3 linked regions of the Mus musculus genome follow. The protein of the gene in region 1 interacts with the protein of each later gene in a pairwise test. Links are inferred from orthologs where the notes say so. Each region holds a gene or a part of one and is shown in the gene's direction. Other genes may lie near its edges. The genes, in order: Sfn, Mark3 and Foxo4.

What was found.
Region 2: the proteins of Sfn (region 1) and Mark3 interact in binary tests that used the Homo sapiens proteins (3 or more experiments, as listed by UniProt). The link is inferred for Mus musculus from reciprocal best matches to the Homo sapiens genes SFN and MARK3.
Region 3: the proteins of Sfn (region 1) and Foxo4 interact in binary tests that used the Homo sapiens proteins (3 or more experiments, as listed by UniProt). The link is inferred for Mus musculus from reciprocal best matches to the Homo sapiens genes SFN and FOXO4.

What each region holds. Positions count from the first base shown.
Region 1 is NC_000070.6:133,600,042-133,603,548, reverse strand, and holds Sfn (14-3-3 protein sigma), read left to right. Parts: upstream 1-1,380; 5' UTR 1,381-1,779; coding exon 1,780-2,526; 3' UTR 2,527-2,993; downstream 2,994-3,507. UniProt on the Homo sapiens protein: Adapter protein implicated in the regulation of a large spectrum of both general and specialized signaling pathways. Binds to a large number of partners, usually by recognition of a phosphoserine or phosphothreonine motif.
Region 2 is NC_000078.6:111,636,927-111,640,574, forward strand, and holds part of Mark3 (MAP/microtubule affinity-regulating kinase 3), read left to right. Parts: intron 1-3,010; coding exon 3,011-3,114; intron 3,115-3,648. UniProt on the Homo sapiens protein: Serine/threonine-protein kinase. Involved in the specific phosphorylation of microtubule-associated proteins for MAP2 and MAP4. Phosphorylates the microtubule-associated protein MAPT/TAU. Phosphorylates CDC25C on 'Ser-216'.
Region 3 is NC_000086.7:101,253,099-101,256,846, forward strand, and holds the start of Foxo4 (forkhead box protein O4), read left to right. Parts: upstream 1-1,429; 5' UTR 1,430-1,722; coding exon 1,723-2,175; intron 2,176-3,014; coding exon of another isoform or gene 3,015-3,164; exon of another isoform or gene 3,165-3,748. UniProt on the Homo sapiens protein: Transcription factor involved in the regulation of the insulin signaling pathway. Binds to insulin-response elements (IREs) and can activate transcription of IGFBP1.

The sequences.
Region 1 (3,507 bases):
TGTGAGTTTAAATGCTCAGACTCTAGCCGTACACTACCGTGGTCTTCCCTAACTTGATGTTTTACTGTAGTTCTGTGCCTGTGCCATGAGTTAGGCAAAGCACGCAAGATCTCAGGACAGAAATCCCATCTGCTTCCTGGGAGAACCTGTAAAATTAGCCAGGACCCTGAAGTCTCTCAAGAGCCCCTACTCCGTGGCCCAAGCACATTCCAGCCTGTTCAGGGTTCTGGCCTACAACACCTCTCCCGGAGGCAAGGCGAGTGCTCAGACACTGTGAGGAGACAGGCAAGGTTGTGCAATAGTCCTGCTTCAAGGGTTAGACTGGCTGGGTCCTAGGAAGAAACTTCTTTAGAAGGAACCACGGAGTCCCATCTAAACTTGAAGAATGTGGTGGGGCACATAAGCAGGAACACACCCTCAGTGCCCATTCTTATCATGGGCCTTGAAAATAGGGCCCAACCAATCAGGGATGGAAGATTGGGAACAAAGTGATCTCCATCTCCAAGGAGACTTCTCTCAGGGGTCAGAGGCAGAGTCTTGAAGGGACTTGAGAACCTCTGGGAGCCAAGTGAGGGATCATACTGGGCTGGAATCACACACTGCGCCATAAAACAAAATGGAATGTGCCATTCCCAGCTCCTTTCCCTCAGCCCTGTCTTCCTCCCCAGGTTGATAGCGTCCCCCCTGGGGGACCAAACTGGACTGAGCACCCAGGTGGCCTGCTTCCCAGCCTCTGACAGAGGTAATCTGAGTCAGGCAGGGGAGTGGGACAGTCAAAGAGTTAGGCCCCCACCCTCTGGGAACCCTGCCGATACATGACGACAGGCAGCTTGGAAGGGACGGGTGACCCGATGTGGAGAACCAGAGAGTAAAGTCTCAGACAAGTGTCAACAGGCCACCAACTTGAAAGGGAAAATTGTGCTGTAAGGGGGAAGGTGTCCAACAAACATATTGGGTGACTAATTACAAAGGCTGGGCTGGAGCGTCAGAGGCCGCTCGTTAAACACTTCATTAAGTGGCACCCTGAGATGCCACCTGCGCATCTGGGGTGTTCATAGGGCATCTTGAGGGAGAACAAGGACCAAGGGATGGAGCTATCTTCAGGCCGGCTCAGCTAATGGCCCCCAAAGAGAGCCAAGAGGAAGAGGGGACACGGAGGGGGAGGGGTTTAAGGGAGCTGGCAGCTTGTGACCTCAAACTGGTTTGGTTCACCCCTGAGACTTGATAGTTCTACCTCTACAGTCCTACAGAGCCAATTCGGGGGTTGGGGGTAGTTGCATCAGATCATGGATGCGCAAGTTTGGGGGAAACTGTACAGCCCTACCTATACATGAGTTCTCACCTGAACTGTCCCAGCTCCCTGGGCTCTGCCTGGGCTAAAGCAGCTCGGTGGCTGAAGCCTGGAAGATCACCCTGAAAGACAATCTGATTTGGTAATCCAAGACGCTCCTGCAATGCAGCCAGCCCTGAACTGCAGGGGGCAGTCTGGAGCCGAAAGGTGCCTTTGCAGGTGGGACCTGCGGCCAGGTTTCTCCTGCTGACTGTCCTGGTGACTCACAGCCCCCTCCCGTCCCAGCCCTTTTACCTTAAAGGTAGAGCCGGAAAGGGTGTGGCGAAGACTAGGAGGAGGCAGGGCCCAGGCCCGCTCAGACCACGCCCAACTCTTCTCAGGGCCATGCCACCCCAGCCAAAAGGCAGAGCCAGAGCAAGGGAGCCGCAGAACCCAGCGTTACTCTCGAGACAGCCAGTTCGCCCGTCTGTCTGTCCATCCTCGCAGTCATGGAGAGAGCCAGTCTGATCCAGAAGGCCAAGTTGGCTGAACAGGCCGAACGGTATGAAGACATGGCAGCTTTCATGAAGAGCGCCGTGGAAAAGGGCGAGGAGCTCTCCTGCGAGGAGCGAAACCTGCTTTCCGTAGCTTACAAGAACGTGGTGGGCGGCCAGAGAGCGGCCTGGAGGGTCCTGTCCAGCATCGAGCAGAAGAGCAACGAGGAGGGGTCAGAAGAGAAGGGCCCCGAGGTGAAAGAGTACCGGGAGAAGGTAGAGACCGAGCTCAGAGGTGTGTGCGACACCGTACTCGGCCTGCTGGACTCGCACCTCATCAAAGGGGCTGGAGATGCAGAGAGCCGCGTCTTCTACCTGAAGATGAAGGGTGACTACTACCGCTACCTAGCCGAGGTGGCCACTGGCGATGACAAGAAGCGCATCATCGATTCTGCCCGGTCAGCCTACCAGGAGGCCATGGACATCAGCAAGAAGGAGATGCCGCCTACCAACCCCATCCGCCTGGGCCTGGCCCTGAACTTTTCAGTCTTCCACTACGAGATAGCCAACAGCCCCGAGGAGGCCATCTCGCTGGCCAAGACCACCTTCGACGAGGCCATGGCCGACCTGCACACCCTCAGTGAGGACTCCTACAAGGACAGCACCCTCATCATGCAGCTCCTGAGAGACAACCTGACGCTGTGGACAGCCGACAGTGCTGGGGAAGAGGGTGGTGAGGCTCCGGAGGAGCCCCAGAGCTGAAGCAGCCGACAACCACCCCGGCTCGCCTTGCCCTCCAGTCCCCAGCCTGCAGAGAGGACTAAAACGGAGTGGGACTCTGCCCTTCCCAAACCCTGAATGTTCAGCCACACCTTGGAAGGCTCCTTTGAAGGGGGCGCAGCCAAGCTGAAGCCACCAGGGCAGGGAATCTCACTCTTCGTGTAGCTGTCTGGTGGGTGTTCCCAACCCATCCCACCCCTGCTCTCTGCACCCCCTCCCCACTTCCTCCCCCTGAGCCTCCCTCGGGCACCTGTTGCTTCTGGATCCGAATAATCCAGGAGGCTCCCCACCCTGTGGCTGAGAACTGGACTGTGGCAAGGGCTGTGTGTGTGAGAGAGAGGGAAACTCTGTGTGTGTGTGTGTGAGAGAGAGAGAGAGAGTGAATGAGAGGGAACACGTTTGCTGGGTGTGACCATGCTACCACTCAATAAAGTTGCCCTGTGACACTCGGTCTTCTTCAGTTATTGGCCATGGGTTGAGAGTAGAATTAGAAATGAGTTAAGAGAACCGGACTCTGAAACTCTGAGCTAGGTCTGTCCCTTGGGGCTGTCTGGGTGACCTGGAAGTGAGACGAGCCTTTGGGTCGGTGTCGGTGACCTGGAAATTTTGGGTAGGGTGACTTCAGGTGAGAGGCCACCAGGAAGTCCCCGCAGCGCTTCGGCTCAGGCCAGGTGAGCACAGAGGCAGGTCAGGAGAGCAGAGGAGAGTGGGGGCTGTAGGCGGGAAAGCCGCGAAGTCAGGGAAGTTTGGGCACAGTGGCCTTAAGAGACACGCTTCACAAGTGGCACTGGGGACCTCACTTTAAGAAGCGGGAAACGGTCACGTCAAGTGCTCAGATCTGAGCCGAGGGGTGCAATCTGAGGCAGGGGCATAGTGCCTCCAATAAAACAGATCAAATAAGGGAAAGCTCCCCAAGGCCCAGGGACAAAAAGAAATCGGCTGAAGAGGAGCGGGCGCGAGCTG
Region 2 (3,648 bases), on another chromosome or scaffold:
GAGTTTGAGACCAGCCTGGTTTGTAGTTCCAGGCCATCAGTGAAACTCTGTCTCAAAACAAACAAAAATCACAATTTTTTTTTTTTAATGTTGTGGTTGGTGTTGAAAATGAAGTTCAGGGGGCTGGTGAGATGGCTCAGCGGTTAAGAGAGCCGACTGCTCTTCCAAAGGTCCTGAGTTCAAATCCCAGCAACCACATGGTGGCTCACAACCATCTGTAACGAAATCTGATGCCATCTTCTGGAGTGTCTAAAGACAGCTACAGTGTATTTACATATCTTACTTAAATAAATAAATAAGAAAATGAAGTTCAGCCAGGCACGCCTTTAATTAATCCCAGCACTTGCGGGGCAGAGACAGGTGGATTTCTGAGTTCGAGGCCAGCCTGGTCTACAGAGTGAGTTCCAGGACAGCCAGAGCTACACAGAGAAACCCTGTCTTGAAAAACCAAAAACAAAAACCAAAAAAAAAAAAACAAAAACGAAAATAAAGCTCAGTTGATAGTGTTTACATAGCATGGGAGAGTCCCGAGTTGAGTTTTTGGCATCACATAAACTAGGTGTGGTGGTGGATAACCCTAATCATTGTGCTTGGAAGGTATAGGCAGGATGATCAAGGAGTTCAAGGTGAAGGGACTGGAGAAATGGGTCAGTAGTTTGAAGAGTCTTTGCCGAAGACCAGAATGTGGTTGCCAGCACCCCTCAGGTGAATAACAACCATCTGTAACTCTGGTTCCATGTGTACCGACTACCTGTGACATCTGCCAGTACTTGTACTCATAAGTAGACACATAATTAAAAATAACATAAATTGGGGCTAGAGAGTTATCTCAGAGCTTAAGAGCACTTGTTTCTTATCCAGAAGACACAGGTTCAATTCTTCCCATCATACAGATGGTGGTGGCTCAAAGCTTCCTGTAACTCCAGTTCCAGGAGATCTAATACCCTCTCTGATCACCATAGGCACTTTACACACGTGGTGCACAGACTTGCATGTAGGCAAAACACACACACACACACACACACACACAAACTTCAAGGACTGGAGAGATGGTTCAGTGGTTTAGGGCACAGACTGCTCTTGCAGGGGTCCTGAGTTCAATTCCTAGTAACCACTATATGGTGGCTCACAGCCGTCTGTCATGGTATCTGATGCCCTCTTCTGGTGTGTCTGAGACAGCCACAGTGTACAATCCAATGAATTGTAGTCCGTATATGCAATGGACTAGCACTCAAGCTTTAGGAGGAATGAAATGTTACCATCTGATGATAGCCGTTTAGATTGTTTCTACCTGTTAGACATAAAGAGTGACAGTGTAAATATTTGTATAAAATGTCTGTGGCCTAGAGTTCTCTGTTCTGTGTGTCTGTGTGCGGTGTATGCTTGTGCATACACTTGCCTGTGTGGATGAGGATGAAGGACCGAGGTTGACAGTGGAAGGAGGAGGAACCTCTGCCCCTGACGCTCACTGATTAGGTCAGACATCCTCATGCCTAGAGAGGTCGGAAGACAGCTTTGGAAAGATGTTTCTTTCTACCTGTGGGTCCTAGACGTTGAACCAAAATGGGGTCTCACTATGTAGTCCAGGGTAGCCTTGAACTCTTAGCAGTTCTCCTTCCTCAGCCTCAGAAGTGCTGGAATGACAGCTGTGACACTAAGGCTGGGTTTTAGGTTTTCATTTCTCCTGGGTTCCTAACTAGGGATGCAATTGTTGGCTTGTGTTGTAATTAGATCTAACTTTGAGGAACTGCCAACTGTTTGTTTTCAATTCTTTTCAGCAGTAAATGAGTTATCCTTCTGACTCCTATCCACACTTCTGTGTTTATCATGTGTGGTATATATACATGTATGTATTCCCGGGTGCACACGAGTGTACATGTGAAGGTCAGAGGTTACTCTCCAACTTGTGTTTGACACAGCACGGTGTCTTGCTAAACCTAGAACTCAGCTTGATTGGTTGGCCAGCAAGTCTGAGGCATCCACTGACTCCATCTATGCCCCCAGGATGTGCTTGCAAATGCACACTCACTCCATGCGTTCTACTACATGCGTTCTGGGCTGCTTGCATCTGAACTTGGGTCCTTCTCAGAAAGTGCCTTGCCCTTAAGGTCCTTATATTTTCATTTTTTATTGTAGCCATCCGTAGCAGGTTTGCAGTAATAGCTTATGGTTTGGAATTGCATTTACTTAATGACCAGCAGTCTTTTCATCATTTCCTCTGGAAGAGCAGCTAGTGAGTGCTCTTAACTGCTGAGCTCTCTTTAGTCCTGGTCCTTTATACTTTTTTGTTGTTGTTGTTCATACTTATTCTATGCTCGTCTGTTAATGTGTTGTCATGTTTTAATTTTAAGGAGACTGGAATGACGGCTCATTGGCTAAGAGTGCTTTCCGTTCTTGCAAGGGACCAAAGTTTAGTTCCCAATACCTACAATACCTATGGGTGTGAAGCTCACCACCACCCATAGTTCTAGCTCTAGAGGATCCAGTGCCCTCTTCTGGCATCCTCACGAACACACATATGTGTGCATGGACACTTTTTTATTTGTCTGTTTGTTTGTTTGTTTGTTTATAAACGACTATGTTAGTCTTGTAAAATGATTTAATGAATAAATTGCCTGCCACCCAAGTGTGAGTACCAGAGTTCAGGGCCTCAGCACCCACATAAAACCCAGATGGGTGTGGCCACTTGCCTATAGTCTCAATACTGTAAAGGCAGAGACAGGATGTCCCTTGGAAAAGCTGGCTAAATACTCCAGCCTCAGTCTGAGAGTTCTGAGTTCAGGTACCTCCTCAGTCAGTAGAGAATAATTCAGAAACAAAGCAGACACCAATCTCTACCCTCCAGGCACAGACAGCACCTCTCTTACAGGTTTTTTTTTATTTGCATAAATAGTGTTTAGTATATTTTTTTGTTTTTTGGGGTTTTTTTTCTGGTGGGGGAAGAGGGTGGTTCTTACTAAATTATACTTATCACCAAATAGTCCAAAGTAAAAATGCTCCTTTCTTACAGAGTAACACAGCATCTGGTGGGATGACACGGCGGAACACTTACGTTTGCAGCGAGAGATGTGCAGCAGACAGACATTCTGTGATTCAGAACGGCAAAGAAAACAGGTGTGAAATTTACCTATTGGCAAAAAGAGTTTTCTCCCAAAAGAAGTTAAAGTGTGTTACTTCTCACTTTTATAATCAATTTATAATTCAAATGGCTACCAATTATTCTTTTAAGGTAAGTAAACTTTAAATGTTAGTTTCTAGCAAGATATTAGGACTCCAGATTTCTCTCTTTGTCCAGAGCCTCTACCCCTATAATCAGCAGTTGTGACAAGGAGGAGTTAGGGTCAAAGCAGGGAGTTTCTGAAGGACCGATAGCATTTCCTGACCATGTTGACTAGGGGATGCTAACACTAACAGCTTAGAGAGAAAGAGAAGCAGGTGGGAGCCTGAGGTCAGGAGCCACACCCAGAATGAGAGCGCAGGGAAAGGTCAACAGCCTGCTCCCAGGTGCAGGTGGCCAGTGCCAGCGTAGTCTCCTCCTCAGACTCTAGGGGCACAGAGTCAGTCTGTCTTTGCAGTCCTTGAAATACTAGTGAAGTCATGCAAACAGCTTTCCAGAGTTTATGGAAGAAAATGGGATTAGGTAGCTGC
Region 3 (3,748 bases), on another chromosome or scaffold:
AGATCATCTGTATTTTCATCTATAAAACAGATATAATAGTGGTTAACCATACCTTGCATGGTTAAGTGAGCTGTAAGTGAGCTAATTTTGATATGCTGGTTTGAATAAGAATGCCCCCCATAGGCCCACTAGGAAATGGCTTTATTTGAAAGGATTAGAAGGATTAGAAGCCGGTGCACTGTTGAAGAACTTAAACCCAGTCATAATGTCTCCATTTAGAATTTGGAAGTAGCAAGTTACAGAAGTGGAAAGGTGACCATCAGTGTGGCTGAGAAGGTTAGGTAGACCCAGAACAGCCTCTAACCAAATTCAGAGCTTAAGAGTAGGGATCGGGGATTTAGCTCAGTGGTATAGCACTTGCCTAACAAGGGCTAAGGCCCTGGAGTCGGTCCTCAGCTCCAGAAAAAAGACAAAATAACAGAGGTTAAAGGTAGCTAGAGGGTGGAGGTATAGGTGCAGAAAGAGATTAAAAAAAAAAAAAGTTCAGTTGGAGACATGTTGAATGAGAAGCCATTGAAGATCAGAACAAGGAGAAGATCAGTATTTCAGAGGCCTGCATAGCTGACAGAGGAAACTAGCAAGACTGTCTGTGAAATGTACATAGAAAATGGAGAGAGTGCACCATAACCAATGAACACTGTTTGTTGTTACACAAGCTTCCCTCTCAACTCCCCAAGTGAGTGTGTCTTATTTTCTAATCAGATCCCTACTTGTTGATACTCTTTCTGCTTCTTATAAGGGCAATACATTTTCACTTTGCTTTCTTAGTGAAGGATGGGAAAATCTAGCGTCTTTCAAAACGATCTTTTGGGCGACCCCGAAACTCGAGGAAGTGGGTGAAAAGGGAAGGAATGAGGAAAAATATTTTTAAGAAAAGAAAAAGAGTCCGGGACGACCTCTAATCATTAAAGTTCCACCTCCCCACATCCTGCCACGCGCCGCTCTCCTGCGGCCGATATCGGACTCCTGATCGCAAGGTAGGACGGGAGATGTAGTCTTCGAGAACGACCAGGGTGGCACGATTCGAGAACTCAGTTTCCCAAGTGGCTCCTGAGGCGCGTGCGCAGATGGCTGCCCCAGCGAGTGGTAAACAGAGACGTCTGGCGGGGGCTGCTGCTTGGAGCAAAACAAAAGGGAAACCCGGGGGGCGGGGGGTGGGGGGGTCCGATAGGGGATTCAGTTCTGGAGTTGGGGAGGCTGGGGCCGCAAGAACCTTGACCCTCTCAAGAGTGACCTGGAGGGAAGAGGCGAGGGGAGGGAGAGCCAGGGGAGGGACAAGTGACGCCCGGGAGCGGGGCGTGGGGGAGGGCAGCGATCCGGGTGGAGGAAATTTGGGAGGAGTGTCCGGGGGGCAGCAACTTGAAAGGGGGAGGGAACTTCGCTGAGGAGACGTTCGGTGATGGGAGCGCAATGTATGAGGGGATACGGTGCCTCAGGTTTAAAAGAGCAGGAAGCTGAGTGAGAGGGTGCAGAAAGTGCCTTCGCTAGGCGGAGGTTACAGGTGGTGCCTCAGAGCGCTACTCTGAGGCTGCAGCCCGGACTCCGGAGGGGATCGGAGAACGGAGTGAAAGGGACAGTTTAGGAGCTAGAGTCCGGAGACGAGGGAGAAGTTCGTGACTTTCTGAGAACTGGAAAGAATGTGTTTCCCCCCTTGGGGGAGGCATGGTGAGGGACTGTGGCAGGCTCCACTGATCGCTGAGCTGCAGAGGTTCGACCCCACGTATGGATCCAGAGAATAAGAAGTCAGCCACAGGGGCTGCCGCGATCCTAGACCTCGATCCCGACTTCGAACCCCAGAGCCGTCCGCGATCCTGCACCTGGCCCCTTCCTCGACCAGACCTCGCTACGGAGCCACACGAACCGTCCGAGGTGGAGCCCAGTCTGGGACAGAAGGTACCCACGGAGGGACACTCCGAACCGATCCTGTTGCCCTCTCGGCTCCCAGAGCCGGCAGGGGGCCCCCAGCCGGGAATCCTGGGGGCTGTAACAGGTCCTCGGAAGGGAGGCTCCCGCCGGAATGCCTGGGGAAATCAGTCATATGCAGAACTCATCAGCCAGGCCATTGAAAGCGCCCCGGAGAAGCGGCTGACACTCGCCCAGATCTACGAATGGATGGTCCGCACGGTGCCCTACTTCAAGGACAAGGGTGACAGCAACAGCTCGGCAGGATGGAAGGTAAGTATGACTCCCTTACCTTCACGCCATCCACCCTTGGACCCCTCTAGTTACTCTCACTCCGGGGCCCCCCATTACCGCCTTTCCACCCCTTTGGAAAGCCCAAAGATCCACCTTTAATCTTCAGTTAGACAGGCATTTACTTAGTACATAGTATATACCACACTCTGAGCAGCTTGAAGCAGGAGGATCGGAGATGAATAAGACACTGTCCCTGCTCTGAGGAAAATCGAATTCTCTACTCGCTACTCAGCACTTTGGCTTGAGCTGCTCCAAACATTTATTCCCACAGAGAAGTCTTTATCCTATGTACAGCAGGAACTGTGTGGATTCTCCACCGGCACCTAGCCTTCCCTCCTCCCTCCCCTCCCACCCAACACCTTTTGGCCCATTCCTGCGGGATTACTCGGATTCCCTGCTCGCCTCCCAATACCTCAGTGAACAGAACTGTTCTACGATTGCTCTGCCCAAGAGGGAGTGGGCGGTGAAGGGGGGCAAAGTGGTTGGTATCCATGGGGAAAGGTAGCGACCTTGTGCACTAAGGAAAGAGGCCCGCAAGCTGCTATCTGCCTCAGTTTACCTTCTCCTGACGAAAATCCTTCCTTGTAAGGCGCTCTCCAAACTCACGGGGAAAGTCTTTGTTCAGGAATACTACTCATGGAGAAAGGAGGTATCATATAGCTTTGACTTTCGAGTCCAAGTTGGTCCTTGGTCTTTCTTGAAGAAACTGGGAAGATCTCAAACGGTAACTCTGAAAACTTCGCCAGAGAAATACGGACTCTAATCACAAAACTAAGGAGGGTTCAGCCCGTATCCATGCCTTGTATCTCTCTCTGTAGGTGGTTTGTGTTAGTGTACCAAGTACAGCGGACAGAATGGACCTTCACGTAGACGTTAGAGTGAGGGAGCAGATCTACAATGTGCGGAGGGGCCAGACTGAACAGAAGATGGGACAGCTGACCGAGACCCTTGGCGCTATTTCTGGGTAGACTGCCATGCCACAATCTGAAGCTCACAAAGAGCTTCCCTCCTTGGACGCAGCCTGCACAGCTGTTTTTCTTTTCCCTTAAGTTGATTTTCCAGGGTAGAATGACCACGAGTGCTTGTTACACTGGGAGTAGTCCCTTCTTATGACTTACACGTAACACGGCCTTTAGAGTTTATGAAGTCTTTTTTTTTTTCCTCCCCTTTTGATTCTAGGAACTGAACCCAGGGCCGCATGGTTGCCACTAAGCTAAATCCATAACCGGTGAAATCTAAGAATTTTTTTTTCATTTAGTTAGTCCGCCTTGGCAGTTCGGAGTCCACATTTTGCATCTGAGGAAATGAAGGCCCAGGGAGGTTAGGTAATGAGTCTACCCTCAAGATGAGGACTTGAGGACAAGCTTTGCTACAGACCCTGCTTCTCTGAGGAAAGCGTGGTTTGCTTTCATTGCCAAACCTAGTCAAAAGGGGGCCACAAGCTCCCAGAGTGTCCCCCCTCCCCACGCAGGAAGCTTAATACTTCCCTGGTGTTGTGCCAGGGTCACTCCCACCCCACCAGGGGGCGGCACTCACTTGAACAAGAAAGCTT